Linked DNA regions of Kluyveromyces lactis. The protein of the gene in region 2 purifies or fractionates together with the protein of the main gene of each other region. This does not show direct contact. Links are inferred from orthologs where the notes say so. Each region holds a gene or a part of one and is shown on either strand. Other genes may lie near its edges.

Evidence for each region. The genes of interacting proteins can lie anywhere in the genome.
Region 1: the proteins of FZO1 (region 2) and MGM1 purify together in Saccharomyces cerevisiae (affinity purification with western blotting; 3 studies listed by BioGRID, with this or other methods). This does not show direct contact. The link is inferred for Kluyveromyces lactis from reciprocal best matches to the Saccharomyces cerevisiae genes FZO1 and MGM1.

What each region holds. Positions count from the first base shown.
Region 1 is NC_006040.1:577,834-583,169, reverse strand, and holds MGM1 (dynamin-related GTPase MGM1), read left to right. Parts: upstream 1-2,446; coding exon 2,447-5,098; downstream 5,099-5,336. UniProt on the Saccharomyces cerevisiae protein: Dynamin-related GTPase that is essential for normal mitochondrial morphology by mediating fusion of the mitochondrial inner membranes, regulating cristae morphology and maintaining respiratory chain function.
Region 2 is NC_006041.1:2,150,839-2,159,692, forward strand, and holds FZO1 (mitofusin), read left to right. Parts: upstream 1-3,613; coding exon 3,614-6,091; downstream 6,092-8,854. Other genes in the region: putative GTPase NOG1, read right to left, coding at 1-1,852; Sec63 complex subunit SEC62, read left to right, coding at 2,473-3,213; EEB1 (medium-chain fatty acid ethyl ester synthase/esterase), read left to right, coding at 6,538-7,887; PNG1 (peptide-N4-(N-acetyl-beta-glucosaminyl)asparagine amidase), read right to left, coding at 7,986-8,854. UniProt on the Saccharomyces cerevisiae protein: Essential transmembrane GTPase, which mediates mitochondrial fusion.

The DNA of each region.
Region 1 (5,336 bases), on a different chromosome or scaffold from region 2:
TGTAATTAAATGATAGGTAAAAAAGACAGATTCTGACAGTTTATTGTCAGCAATGGATAGGAAACATGTACGATAAAGGTAGGTGGTATCTACCTGTTGATTTGAAATTTTTAATGATTTTATTCGAGATATCAATAAAGAAGAGCGGATTGATTTAGAAATCCGCTAATGTTAATATTACACTAGTCAATAATCTAAGTGGTGTGTTCTCATTTTAAAATTTCCGTGAGTTAAAAGAAAAGATGAAAGGAGGAGTAACAGAGAGACCACAGTAAGAGATAGGAGGTTTGGGTTGGAATAAATGATGGTGAATGTAGTCAAAAGGAATAAGTAGGGTAAAGGACAGGAAGGGGTGGAATATATTTCAACAGAAAGACAATTTTTCAAGGAAGAAAATAATAGAGTGGTGATAAAGGGTATAATTGATTTAAATAACACAAAAATAACCGATTTGAACTGAATTATTAAGGGTAGACAGAAGTATCAAAGGAAGGTAGTAAAATACAACACACGCATTAAGAAGTTAGGTGAATCGATATTCACAGGAGGTAAAAAAATAAAGTGATTCGAAATTTGATTAACTTTATTTCTTGGACTTCTTAACGGCAGTCTTCTTAGCAGGAGCCTTCTTGGTAGCTGCTTTCTTAGCAGTGGTCTTCTTTGAAGACTCCTTCTTGACGACCTTACCAGCAGAAGCCTTTTTTGAACTAGTAGAGCTCTTCTTGGTGGTGGCAGCTGGCTTCTTGGTAGTAGAAGATTTCTTAACAGCAGAAGGAGCTGCCTTCTTGGACTCAGCCTTTGGTTTTTTCACCAATTTGATAGAACCAGCAGGTCCCTTTGGTTGAGAGAAGAACTCAGTCTCCAACCCTCTCTTGGACAGCCAGGTTGAATTGGGTGTCGAAGTTTTCACCAACTGGGTATTTTTCCTTGATGAAAGACTTCAAAGCTTGCCTAGAAGAACCACCACGTTCAGCTAGAGCAACAATAGCTTCAGTAATCAATTCTGCACAAAAGAAAAAGGAACTCACACGCATGCGACGAGAGAATGTGATGCATAAGTTAGTAAAGTGAATTAACATTTCATAATGGAAGCTTAACCAATGATAGATTGTAATTTCAAATGAACAACAATAATGTGTGCAGCCAGAAAAAAAATCAATGAAGAAAAACAAACATTACAATTTTGAAGGGGTGACAAAGCATGGTCTGCTACACTGGTAGTTCATAGTATCAACAATCAACAATCTAACTAAAGCTAGGCTCCCAGTCTCAGAGCAAAGCACAGTGACGGAAAAACGAAGGAAAAAAAATAAAGTCACATACCCTTATACTTTGGCAAAGCTCCTGATTTTGAAGCGGCCTTGGATTTTGGGGACACAGCGGTCGATTTCTTAGTAGTCTTAACAACTTTGGCAGCCATTTCTGATAGTATTGTATAATGGTAGAGGAATAGGACAGTTACTTATAATATGACTGGATGCTAAAATCTTTCTTTCAATATTAAATCACAATAATATTTTTTTGCTCTCTTAACTTTTGTTTATAATTGCAGATAACGTCTCAATTTGCGGCCAGAAAAACTTCTAAATTTCACTCAATCAAACTTTGGTAACAAATAAACAGAATAGCTCAAACAATAGGGTTCAAACGATGATATATAGCTCTCTCTTTCTCTTTAAAACTTCTTAACTGTTGTTGTTGTAAATAACATGGAATGTATCTCTAAGGCTTTTTTGTTTGTTTTTTTTATATTTCCATTCAGTTCGTGTTTTGTTTTGTTTTGATTTTTCGACTCTTTTTTATTGTCTATCTGTGGGATGTGTAAAAAACTACCGATCAAAAAATAAGACGCGAATTTTTGGGTCTACTATGCACTGCACAGAGTCTAAAGAGAAAAGAAGTATCTGGGGGAGGGAAACGATAGCATTCCTTTTTCCTTTTTTTCTGTAACGTTATTTCTGACGCTTTCGCAATAATTTAGTGCTACAATTGTGTTGTGCTGTGTATGGTTAGTTAATGCATGTGTACTATAGGTTGAACAACGGTGTAGTCTTCGCTGTTTAGGGGTTAGCTTTATCATTCAATAAGAAAGCTCCCTTTTATGGGCTTATTAAGAGATGCTGAAAGTTTCGCACCTGGTCTGAACTGGAATCTTTTACCATATTACCCGGACAAACGACTGCCTCTCAATGATACATGAAAAATAGACATATATTCTAATCATGTGATTTAGAAATAGAAAAAACATCCAGCGGTGGTTACCCGGAAATGAGAATGTTCTACTTCTCTTTTCTCTGTGATGAGATGGTTTTATTATTACATATTGAAATAATAGCATATATAACAGGGAAGAAACCAGAAGATGCCCTGACGTTTTATTGTCCGTCTCTGAAGTATTACTACACACTGTATACATCAATCAAGAGTTCAACAAAGATCCAAATATATGTTTGCTAACCAGTGCCGCAGGGTGCTGTTCAGACAGCTATGGATGGGTCCAGCCAGGACAGGTGCGTTGCGATTTATGGTTAGACCATCGATAATGTCAAATGTTACTAATGATATGAAGGGTCCTTTTGCCTTGACTAACAAGAGGTTCGCATCGTTTTTCCCCAGTATGATAGGCAAGATGGTTCGTATTCCGGCTTACGTTGGGGGTGGTGCCGCTGCGTTTGGTTCATACGTTGCTTATAAAGTGAACGAAGCCGGACAATTTACACAGGATCAACTATCCAAATTCAAAGATTTCACGGGAGATGTCAAGGATAAATTGGGTGATTGGTTTCAGAGAGATGGACAGTCGGACGATGGAGGAAACAGTGGTGACAATAACGGGTCGGATGCCGTTGCAGCAGCTACTCTCCTGGCTTCATTATCAGATGATGAAAATGATGATGAAGGGAAGACATTGAAGAATCAGCACGATGAAGAGGAATCGGCAGATGGAAAACGTCGTAAAAAGAATGGAAACGATGAAGATGAGGAAGATGATGACTTGGAAGAGGCTGAGGACAACACGCAGGATGAAATGTTAAATTTAACAAAGCAAATGATCGAAATCAGATCAATCTTGAATAAAGTGGATTCTACTTCAGCCAATCTAGCTTTACCATCTATTGTTGTCATAGGGTCTCAGTCAAGTGGTAAATCATCTGTCTTGGAATCCATTGTCGGCAAAGACTTTTTACCAAAGGGTACTAATATGGTTACTAGAAGACCAATTGAATTGACCCTAGTGAACACTCCAACATCTCAAGAAGTTACTGCAGATTTCCCCACTATGAGAATATATAATTTGAAGGATTTCAAAGAAGTTAAAAGAATTTTAACGGAAATGAACATGGCTGTGCCTAGCACTGAAGCTGTCTCAGATGACCCTATCCAGCTCACAATCAAATCTTCGAGAGTTCCAGATTTGTCCTTAGTTGATTTACCTGGTTACATTCAAGTGGAAGCTGTTGATCAGCCCATAGAACTTAAATCTAAGATTCGTCAGCTATGTGACAAATATCTCGAAGAACCAAACATCATTTTGGCTATCTCAGCCGCAGACGTTGATCTTGCAAATAGTGCTGCTCTTCGTGCATCTAAAGTAGCTGATCCTCAAGGTCTAAGAACCATAGGTGTTGTCACTAAATTGGATCTTGTGGATGCTAAGACTGCTCGAGCTATCCTTAATAACAGAAAGTACCCTCTAAAAATGGGATATGTCGGTGTCATCACAAAGAGTCCAAGTACGACTCCAGTGCAGAGATTATTCGACAACAGATCTTCTGGAAGTCATTTGTTTTCAAAAAAGAAAACAGACCCAACAGAGACTACAGCTATAACTCAAACAAAGCAGTTTGAGAACGAATTTTTCAAAGAACACAAGAAGGATTTCACTGCGTGCCAAGTGAGTACGAAAAAATTAAGAGAGAAATTGATCAAAATCTTAGAGGTTTCTATGAGCAATGCTCTTGAACCTACTTCCCGTTTGATTCAACAGGAATTAGATGACGCGGCATATCTTTTCAAGGTGGAGTTCAACGATCGTCAACTAACTCCAAAGTCATATTTATTGAACAACATCGACGTTCTTAAAGTTGCAATCAAAGAATTCCAAGAAAAGTTTGGTAGAAACGATCTGAAATCAATTCTCAAAGCCGATTTGGATCAAAAAGTTTTGGACTTACTTGCTGCCAGATATTGGAAAGATTTGAACTTACCAGAGCTTTCAACATCTCAAGACCTTGAAGATGAATCCTCTGCATTGTATTGGCATAGAAAGTTAGAACTTGCACAATCTAGTTTGACCAAAATTGGTGTAGGTAGATTGTCCACTAGTCTTGTTACGAATGCCATTATTCAAGAATTAAACAACATTTTGAATCAGTCACAGTTGAGAAACCATGATTTGATAAAGGAGCTTGTTACAAACACTGCTGTCAACGTTTTAAATTCCAAATATTACTCCACGGCGGACCAAGTTGAAAACTGTATCAAACCATTCAAATACGAGATTGATTTGGAAGATAGAGATTGGTCCTTGGCTCAAGAACACTCGGTTCTACTTATTAAAGAAGAATTACGCCAATGTAACGATAGATTCAATATGATTAAAAACGCTGTTGGAAACAGAAAGCTAAATCAAGTTATTCAATTCTTGAAACAGGATCCAAATAGAAAGGAGACTCTTGGATTCTCTGCCCTACTGCTTGAAAGGGGCCATGAAGCGATGTTCCTACAAGATAGATCTTCATTATTAAATTTCAGACTCAAGTTCTTGAAGAACAAATGTTTCTCCGTGACTCAGAAAGATAAATGCCCAGAGGTATTTTTGAACGCAGTAAGCGATAAACTAACATCAACCGCAGTATTATTTCTAAATGTTGAGTTGTTAAGTGACTTCTTTTACAATTTCCCAATTGAATTGGATAAGAAACTAAGTTTATTATCTGATGAACAAGTCGAGATGTTCGCTAAAGAGGACGTCAGAATTGCTAGACATATTGAATTACAAAAACGTAAAGAATTATTGGAACTCGCTTTGGAGAAAATAGATTCTATTCTTATGTTCAGAAAATCCTATAAGGGACTGTCGAAAAGAAACCTATAATGATCACTGTATCCTATACAACCGCTTCTGGAACACTTTATAATGACTACTATTTACGAGATCACTGTATATAAACAAAACTTAATCTTAATATGTTTCTACATGGAAATATGCCAACATCTTATGTAAGGCTTCCCGTCTTTAAATAATTAATGAACTTTTTAAAATCCCAACATACCAAATTTATAAAATCAGATGAATATGCTTTATTTAGGTGATGTGAATAGTATACAATGCA
Region 2 (8,854 bases):
ATTCACCGGCTCTGGCCATTCTGTTTCTTTCTCTTCTTTCTAATTTGGCCATTCTTTCAGCCTTCGATCTCATTGAACCATCAGCAACACCGTCTGTCAATCTATCTGTCTGTCTTAGCTTACCAGCTGGAGCAGAATCTTCTTGATCACCGTATACCACGTCAGCACCAGTTTGCTCATATCTGTTCTTTTCAGCAGCGACTCTTTGCTTATCTTGCAAAGCAGTCATATCGTGACCTAAAGAAGACATGTGCTTCTCCATGTCACCATATGTCTTTGCCAATTTAGAACGAGGCATGGTACCACGGTTCTTCAATGCCTTTCTGTTTCTTGAAGCATTGATCATCTTCTTTTGTCTATCTCTAATCCATTCTGCCTTTTCTCTGATCTCAGAGATTTCGTCAGCATCAAATCCTTCGTAAGTTTCTTCTTCGTCGGATTCATAGAAGCCTTCAGATTCTAATCTTTCTTCTTCTTCCTCTAAAGCTTGTAATTTGATTGCGATTTCTGGATCCAAGAAGTCATAAACGTTCTTACCATCTAAGATTTCTGGCATGACATCGTTCTTCCATTCATCGTCTTCCAATAGATACTTGTCCTTCAAATTAACGTTGTATACACCGGCCCCACCGTTTTCGATTTCAATTTCTTTAGCCAATTTTCTTCTGTTTGGATCTTCTGGATCATATTTCTTCATCTTAGCGATGGCTTCTGGAATATATGGAGTTCTGTCAATACCATCATCACGCTTTTGAGGTTGAGCGACGTGGATCTTGTTTAAGACGTTAGTGATTCTAGCTTGAGATTTTAGCTTGTTTTCAATTCTGGAAGCCAACAACTTTTCACAAGCCTTGTTTCTAACAGCCATAACGTTATCTTCTTCATGACAAGAAGTGGTCATGATTTCAACACCTGGAACTTCCAAAACAGTATCCAAAAGTTTCTTACGTTCTTCGTCTAAATCTTCAGGTTTAATGATATCAGTCTTGTTAATGACGACCATGACGGATTTATTGGCAAACAATGGTTTGATCGAATGGAATAATTTGACTTGAGCTTCAATAGAGAAACCACACTGTTCTGATAGATCCATGAAGTACATAACAGTAGAACGCAAATGAGCAATAGCATAAATGGATTGCATTTCGACGTTGTTCATTTCATCCGTAGGTCTATCCAAGATACCTGGAGTATCAATCGCTTGGAATCTCAAGTATTTATAATCAAAATGACCCACATATAGCGACTTGGTGGTGAAAGCATAAGGTTGCACTTCGACATCAGCCTTAGTGATACATCTCAAGAAAGAGGATTTACCCACATTTGGATAACCGCAAATCAACAAAGTTCTGGTGTTTGGGTCGATGGATGGCATTCTACCCAAATGTTGTCTAACTTGTTCCAAATACACTAAAGGATCCTTCAACTTCTTCACAATGGTAGCCATTCTACCAAGAGCGGCTCTCTTCAATTGTTTACATTGGAAAAGAGATTGACCGAATTTTAACAATCTTGTGTAATCTCTTTCAACTTGTTCGACCAATGTCTTAGCACGACTCACAGCAGCCAAAGAAACTTTGAAATGATTCTTTTCATACAAAGTATCCATCAAATCCCTATGGAAAGGATGCACGTCGTTAATATTAGGGAAACCTTTCAAAATATCATCAAATTTTTCCACGAACCCTTCACCGGTGAACTTCACCTTTCTCATGTAAAACGCTCTGATACGAGTGATATTGAAACCTGGTCTAATAACAGTAGGTGTCTTTCTTTGAGTTCTGTTCAACACAATGTCCAACAAGTCATTGGCAGGAGCCACGGTCGGAATATCTTTCCAGGATAATTGCATTGTTGCTTAATTGATTTGACGTAAACTTTGGGATACACGCACACACGGGGACAACAAAAAACAATTAAACTAGCAATAATGCAGTTAAGCTATGCTTAGTTGTTTGAACAAACTTCCAATCTATTCAAACTACCTGTCAAACGGATGTCACACTGATAATCAAGCTCTGTCTATCACTTCGAATGCACAATGAGATGAGATGAGATGAGATGAGCTTGCCGTTTGGAAAATTTTCCCACTACTGCAAACCTTTGAAAAGAAAAAAAAAATTGTGCTTTCAGGATTTCTTTTTCGTATGGATCTCAGAATTGACCGTTAAAGGCATACACATTGGTTATGTCACGTGACTAAAGCACTTTCTTTTGAGACTGTCGGGGTAACAATATATTTTACTGTTAAAATGTATGTGAACATTTTATTTACGGTTTACGTTTCAACTTTCAATATATACAGAAATATCAATGAGATTTTGATCTGAAAGAATACAGCTTGAGTCCAATCTCTAGATTCATTATAACTTTCTAATCACTACCTGATAATTGCCTAATTTCCGGTAGAATTGCCTTATCCGCCTTTTTTTTTTGAATTTTTCTCTTCAAATATAGATTTGTTTCGTTACTATGTCGGAACCAAGCCCACAATCTACGATAGCCATTGCCAATCTACTCAGGACTCATAGCGACTTGAAGCAAAGACAAGGATTGTTCCAATCGCGTTTAGTTGACTTCTTCCGTTATAAAAGATTTGTTAGAGCTTTGAAAAGTGATAAATATAAGGCAAAGTCCAAAAAACAACCCGAATTGTACCCCGCTGTGACAAGCGATGAAGATGCTCGTAACATTTTTGTTTCCTTAATCAAGGCCCAATTTGTCGTACCAGCGGTTAAATTACATTCTGCAGAATGTAAAGAACATGGTCTAAAGCCAAACAAATCATATCCAAACTTATTATTATCGAATAAAGCGACTCTACAACCAGATGAATATTACGTCTGGTCTTATAATCCAAAATCAATTTATGATTACTTGACTGTGATCGGTATCATAGTCGGTGTGCTAGCATTCGTGTGTTACCCATTATGGCCTCCATATATGAAACGTGGTACTTACTACTTATCCATTGCAGCATTGGCACTTATCGGTGTATTCTTTGGTATTGCAATTGTGAGATTGATAGTTTACTTGTTGTCATTAGCTGCAGTTAGCGAGAAGGGTGGGTTCTGGCTCTTCCCAAACTTGTTCGAAGATTGCGGTGTTATAGAAAGTTTCAAACCGCTATATGGATTTGGTGAAAAGGAATGCTATAGCTTCCTGAAGAAAGAAAAGAGAAAGCATAGATCAGTTGCAAAGAAGCAAAAATAACTTCAATGTAACGGACTTCCATCCCAGACTGTACATTAGCAATTTAACTATCACAGAAGGTGTATGTTCATTCTTTCGGTGAGAATCACATACTAATATCACATATAAACATACAAACATATATAAATATAGATATATGTACTCATACTAATATCAGTAGTGACATCTTTGGTTTCTGACACTAGAAATCACCTTCTTTTAAAGTTTTATTTTGCATGAATTGATTTAAGGTCAAGTAAGAAAATGAAAAACGCAGCAACAGTAATGAAAACAGTAATGAAAGCAGAAGTTGCAAACAGTTAGAAAAATAATGCCAACAGGATACCACTCGCTTCCAATCCTAGTATAGGTATTATAACTGAGCGAACGGCCGCACCACAATATTACAAACTTCTGCAACATGTCACAGAAGGAAATATCGCAGAATTCTAATAGAAGAAGCTCTAAATATGAAGATGAGTTGAGCAACGATGCCCCGTTTGAAATTTCATCACATCAGTTGGAGTCAAGTACAACTTTAACAGATGTTCAAATGAGTAACCTTCTACAAAGGCATTCTTCTCATCGTCGTGATAGGTCGAGAGATCATATGTTTTATTCTCATTTGACACAACAATCATACTCTCTCAACAGAAACAGTCTTCTCGATTCCATTACCGTGGTCAGGCCTTTGATCAACGATTTGATCACTGAAAATAATCAAAGAGCCATCTATATTCCAGAGCATTCTGAATCTTTGGACGTATTGGAACTTAAAGTCAAACTAGATGGTAGGGAGAATATGCAACTTGATAAGAGTGCTTTGGCGCAGTTATTCAAAACACAAGCGTTATCTGCGATTGACCATTTGATTAATTTACAAACTCGTGTACAGGATACTTCTTCAAAAGTTTTCATAACAGGCGATTTGAACTCAGGAAAATCTACGTTATGTAACGCATTTTTGAGAAAGAAGGTTTTGCCTGAGGATCAATTGCCTTGTACCAATGTATTCTGTGAAATTTTAGAAGCGAGAGAGAACGGAAATATGGAAAGAGTCCATGCCATTCCCAAGACCGTGGCAACTAACGTTAAGGATGCATCCGTATTATACGACATGAGAGACAGATCGACTTATGAAGATTATACTCTCGATAAGCTAGATCAATTGGTTTATGATAATGATCACTATATCTTGTTGAAGATATATATTAAAGATGATAAAAGGCCGGTTGACTCTAGTTTGTTGAGAAACGGAACTGCAGATATATCTCTTATTGACTCTCCTGGGCTTAATATGGATTCAGTGAAAACAACTGAAGTGATGTCTAGGCAAGAAGAGATTGATCTTGTAGTATTTGTCGTCAATGCCGAAAATCAATTAACATTATCTGCTAGAGAATTCATTACTATGGCTTCAAGGGAGAAGAAATTAATGTTCTTCGTGATCAACAAGTTTGATCATATCAAGGACAAAGACAGATGCAAGAAGCTGATTCTAGATCAGATCAAGGAAATTTCTCCAGAAACTTATAAGCAGAATAGTGAATTTGTACACTTTGTTACCAGTCATGGTAAAATACCCCATGAAGGCGAAAATCGCCCTGATGGAGGAGATGACCCAAATGGAGACATGCCAAACCCTCCAAAAGAAGATCCTGATTTCGATAAATTAGAGGACAATTTGCGTAATTTCGTCTTCAAGAAAAGATCACTCTCGAAACTTTTACCAGCAAAAACTTATCTAATAAAGCTATTGAAGGATCTTGAAAGGATATCACAATGTAATCTTGAAAAATATAAAGAGGAAGACTATCATTTGAATGCCCTTCTAATTGATTTGCAACCGGAACTCCACGATGTTACCAATCGCTGTTCTGAGCTTATCGAATCAATTGATAAAATTTGCGAATTTACCACAAAGGAAGTATATGGATACACAAAAATGCAAATTAACAAAGCGTTAATACTAAAGCCTGCTGAATTCCCTCCATATTCTGGTCTTTCTGGCATTTATGACTATGTTCAACGAGTTAGAACTTTCATCGTGGACCAAATTTTAGCCAGCGTACAAGTCAGTGAAGCATATGCTAAGAACAGCGCAGAACAATCAGTTTCTCAAATAAACGCATTAGCGAAGGAACAACTAGGTGATGAATTTATGGCGGGCAAGGTTTTCAAGAGTGGTTTGATGTTCACCAAGAAAAAGCATAATTTAAGCAAAAAATTGAATATTCCATTAGAATTGCATAACTTTTTGGATCCATCTGTTGAAGGATTTATCTCTTACCTATCCTGGGGTCTCGTTAAACCAACACCGAAAATTACTAACGAAGAGAATACTTTGACTACCAAAAGCTCATGGTCGCAATCCCTTGCATTAACATCATATTCTGTTTCACAGTATTGGACCAACCCATCGTTAATCTTTACTTCAAAGATCCCAACATTACTGGTCTATTCCTTTGGGGGTTCTAAAATGATAACAAATATCGTGCTTCATGGCTCAAGGTTTTTCTCTTTAGAATCCTTGAAAAAATTGTCTGGATCGTTGATACTGCTAGGGGGAGTCTTAGGAATAGCCTATTTAATTCACGACTTACCAAGAGCGCTACCGATGAAGTTATCCTTGAAATATAAGCTACGATTACAAGAAATCGATTATGCGCATAATAACGCTGACCGTATCTCGAAAGAAGTATCACAGGTGTTCAAATACCCAACCAGAGAAGTGGTAAAAGCGTGTGAGTTAATTGTTGATAAAAAGACTTCCCAAAAGAAAGAAGTAGAATGCAAAGTAAGGGATAACGCAATGAGTATTGAATTTTTCCAGGCGTTATTATCCAAGTCACAGAAACAGAGAGGTACTGTGGAATCGATCAATTTGGAAGTAGATTGATTAAATGGATCTATGGGCATTACAGGACCCTAAAGAACAGAATCATTCTTCTATCTGAAACCATATATAATTATTCCCATATGATAGTTTTTCATGTAAATATTTCATTACTGCTGCGGATCCGAACCAACTAAACATATTTACAACCTTACTTTCGGTCCCCTTTCCCCTCCATGGCTCATGCGAGACCCTTCGTTCATAACCTCCGGATCCTTCGGCTGATATTTTTACGGTCCGAAAATCAAACACCTGTAGCATCACCAGAACCCATTTCAAATGCGAAATATATAAAGATGGAAACAGAATCAAGGAACGAGCCACAGATATTCTGACTTATTTTATTTATCTTCATAAAATTGGTTATATACTTTGGTAATATTTTTCGTCTACCCTATTTGTGTACTGACACAACGACGTTGTCTCTTATCTAATAAACGTTGACAATAATGGTGAACTTATTATTCAACCCACTGCACTGGGGTTACAATGGTACTGTAACTCAACATATCGGTGAAAAAGGAACAATCAAGTTGCAAAAGAAAGATGGATCCGAGGCTCAATTGCATGAATTAATCTCCGAAGAGGTTACTGGATTGAGCGATGGCAGCAAATTTCAATTAAGTCCACTAATCTTTACTGGTATTTTACAAACCATGTATTTGGCAGGTGGTGATTTCAGCAAGAAATTCAATGTATTTTACGGTAGAGAACTGTTTGAGATGTCTGATCATGGGATTGCCAGTATTGATTGGGTTAGAAATGACTGGAAGAAACTGTACGAACTAGACCCTGCCACCGGTACATACAATAAAGAGAAACTAGCTGAGGATGGTAAAAAGACACATCCTGAAGGCTGGCCTCGTTTGCATCCACGTACTAGATACATGGATGACGAAGAAAAAGAGTCTGTTTTGAACGATACAAGTAAGCCATTGATCATTGTTATGCATGGTTTGGCTGGTGGTAGCCATGAACCAATCATCAGATCATTAACGGAGCAACTTTCAAATATCTCTAATGAGAAGTTTAAAGTGGCCGTGTTGAACACCAGAGGTTGTGCACGTACAAAAGTTGTATCACCGAAATTGTTCTATGCGTTTGCAACAGAAGATCTGCGTGAGTTTGTGCAAAGAGAACACAAGCGTGATCCAAAGAGAAAGATTTATGCTGTTGGGTTTTCATTCGGTGCAACAATGTTGGCTAATTTCCTGGGAGAAGAAGGAGAAAAGTGTCTTTTATCAGGTGCTGCATTAGTATGTAATCCTTGGGACTTGACTAATTCTGCCCATAAAATGAGGGAAGACTTCTGGTCTAGTCGTTTGTTCGCAAAGAGTATCACTCAATTTTTAGTAAGAACACTGGAAGTTAACATGAATCAAATCGAATGGAAGGGCGGTGAGAAGCCTGCTGAGATTTCGCCAGAACACTATTCGAATTATTCTTTCACACGTGAAAACTTGAAAAAAGCTAAGCAGTTCACTGATCCAAGTCAGTTTGATGACATTTTTACAGCAAAGGCTGTTGGATTCGAAGACTCCTGGTCTTATTACCGTGTCGGAAGCTCTATTAACCGTCTACCAACTATAAATGTTCCAACTCTAGTCATCAATTCCAAAGATGACCCAGTCATAGGTGATAAATGTATTCCAGTGAAGGAAGCTGAGGAAAATCCTCATGTTTTACTGATCGAAACAGATTTAGGTGGCCATTTAGCTTACTTGGAGAAAAACCATGACTCTTGGGCAACAAAGCAGGTTGCCCAATATTTTGATGCTCTTGAATCATTAGTCAAATAAAGTAATGTCAATGTTTAAAACATTTGTACACAAGATACTATTCATATATAAGTTCAATATTATACATAACTGAAGTTAAAAGCAAACATGCTGGTTACTCATGAACCATCTTCTCCTCTTTGCTGCTTCCAGGCTGTAGAACCACTTTCTCTACCTTTTGTACCTGTCAATGTAGTCGTCGATGTATCTTTCGATGGCTTTGTCTTCTCCAATGATAATCGCTCTTGTTCATCTCGGCACGCCAGAGCGTATATTTGATCATCATTGAAATCTTTTCTCAATGTCTTAGTTAGGTAAGTACACATAAAATTCAGTTCGTTCTCAGATATGGCATTACGAGGTAGGTTATTTTGTAGGATATATCTGCCACTAACATCTGCTACAATGTCATTACTGAAAGCCAAAACATAACTCATCTTCTTGTTCCAATTCTTCGAGTAAATATGAGGCTCATCAAAACTTTGTTCGCAGCAATCTAAATGAACCCATCTTTTTAAATTGGGTGAATAGTACTCGCACCATACATGATCCTCTTTGTTCCAAATATATCTTGCGTTTAACCCGAACGATTTCAAAATCAAGGTGAACACATTACACCATTCTCCACACCTTCCTGTTCTTGTCTGAAGTAACTTTATCGGATCATTATAACGCGGAAATCTTGTGATATCACCAGTAAGGGTGCAGCGGTATACTTCGACGTTCCCACATTGATATTTGGCTTCCTCACTGTTTGCTCTATCTGTACCCACCCATTCGAGATGTTCGTCAGTGCCACATTTGGAACAATTAGGTTTGTTACACCATGAGAAGAAATCTCTTTTGAAGTACCTGAGAAGCTCTTTCACCAAATAGTCCTGATATTCAATATCCGAAGCATTATTATCTTGAACAGCTTTGTCAACGTTGCTGTATATTAAATCAAGATCTAATATATCTAATACTACGGAGTACCATGCGTCATTCT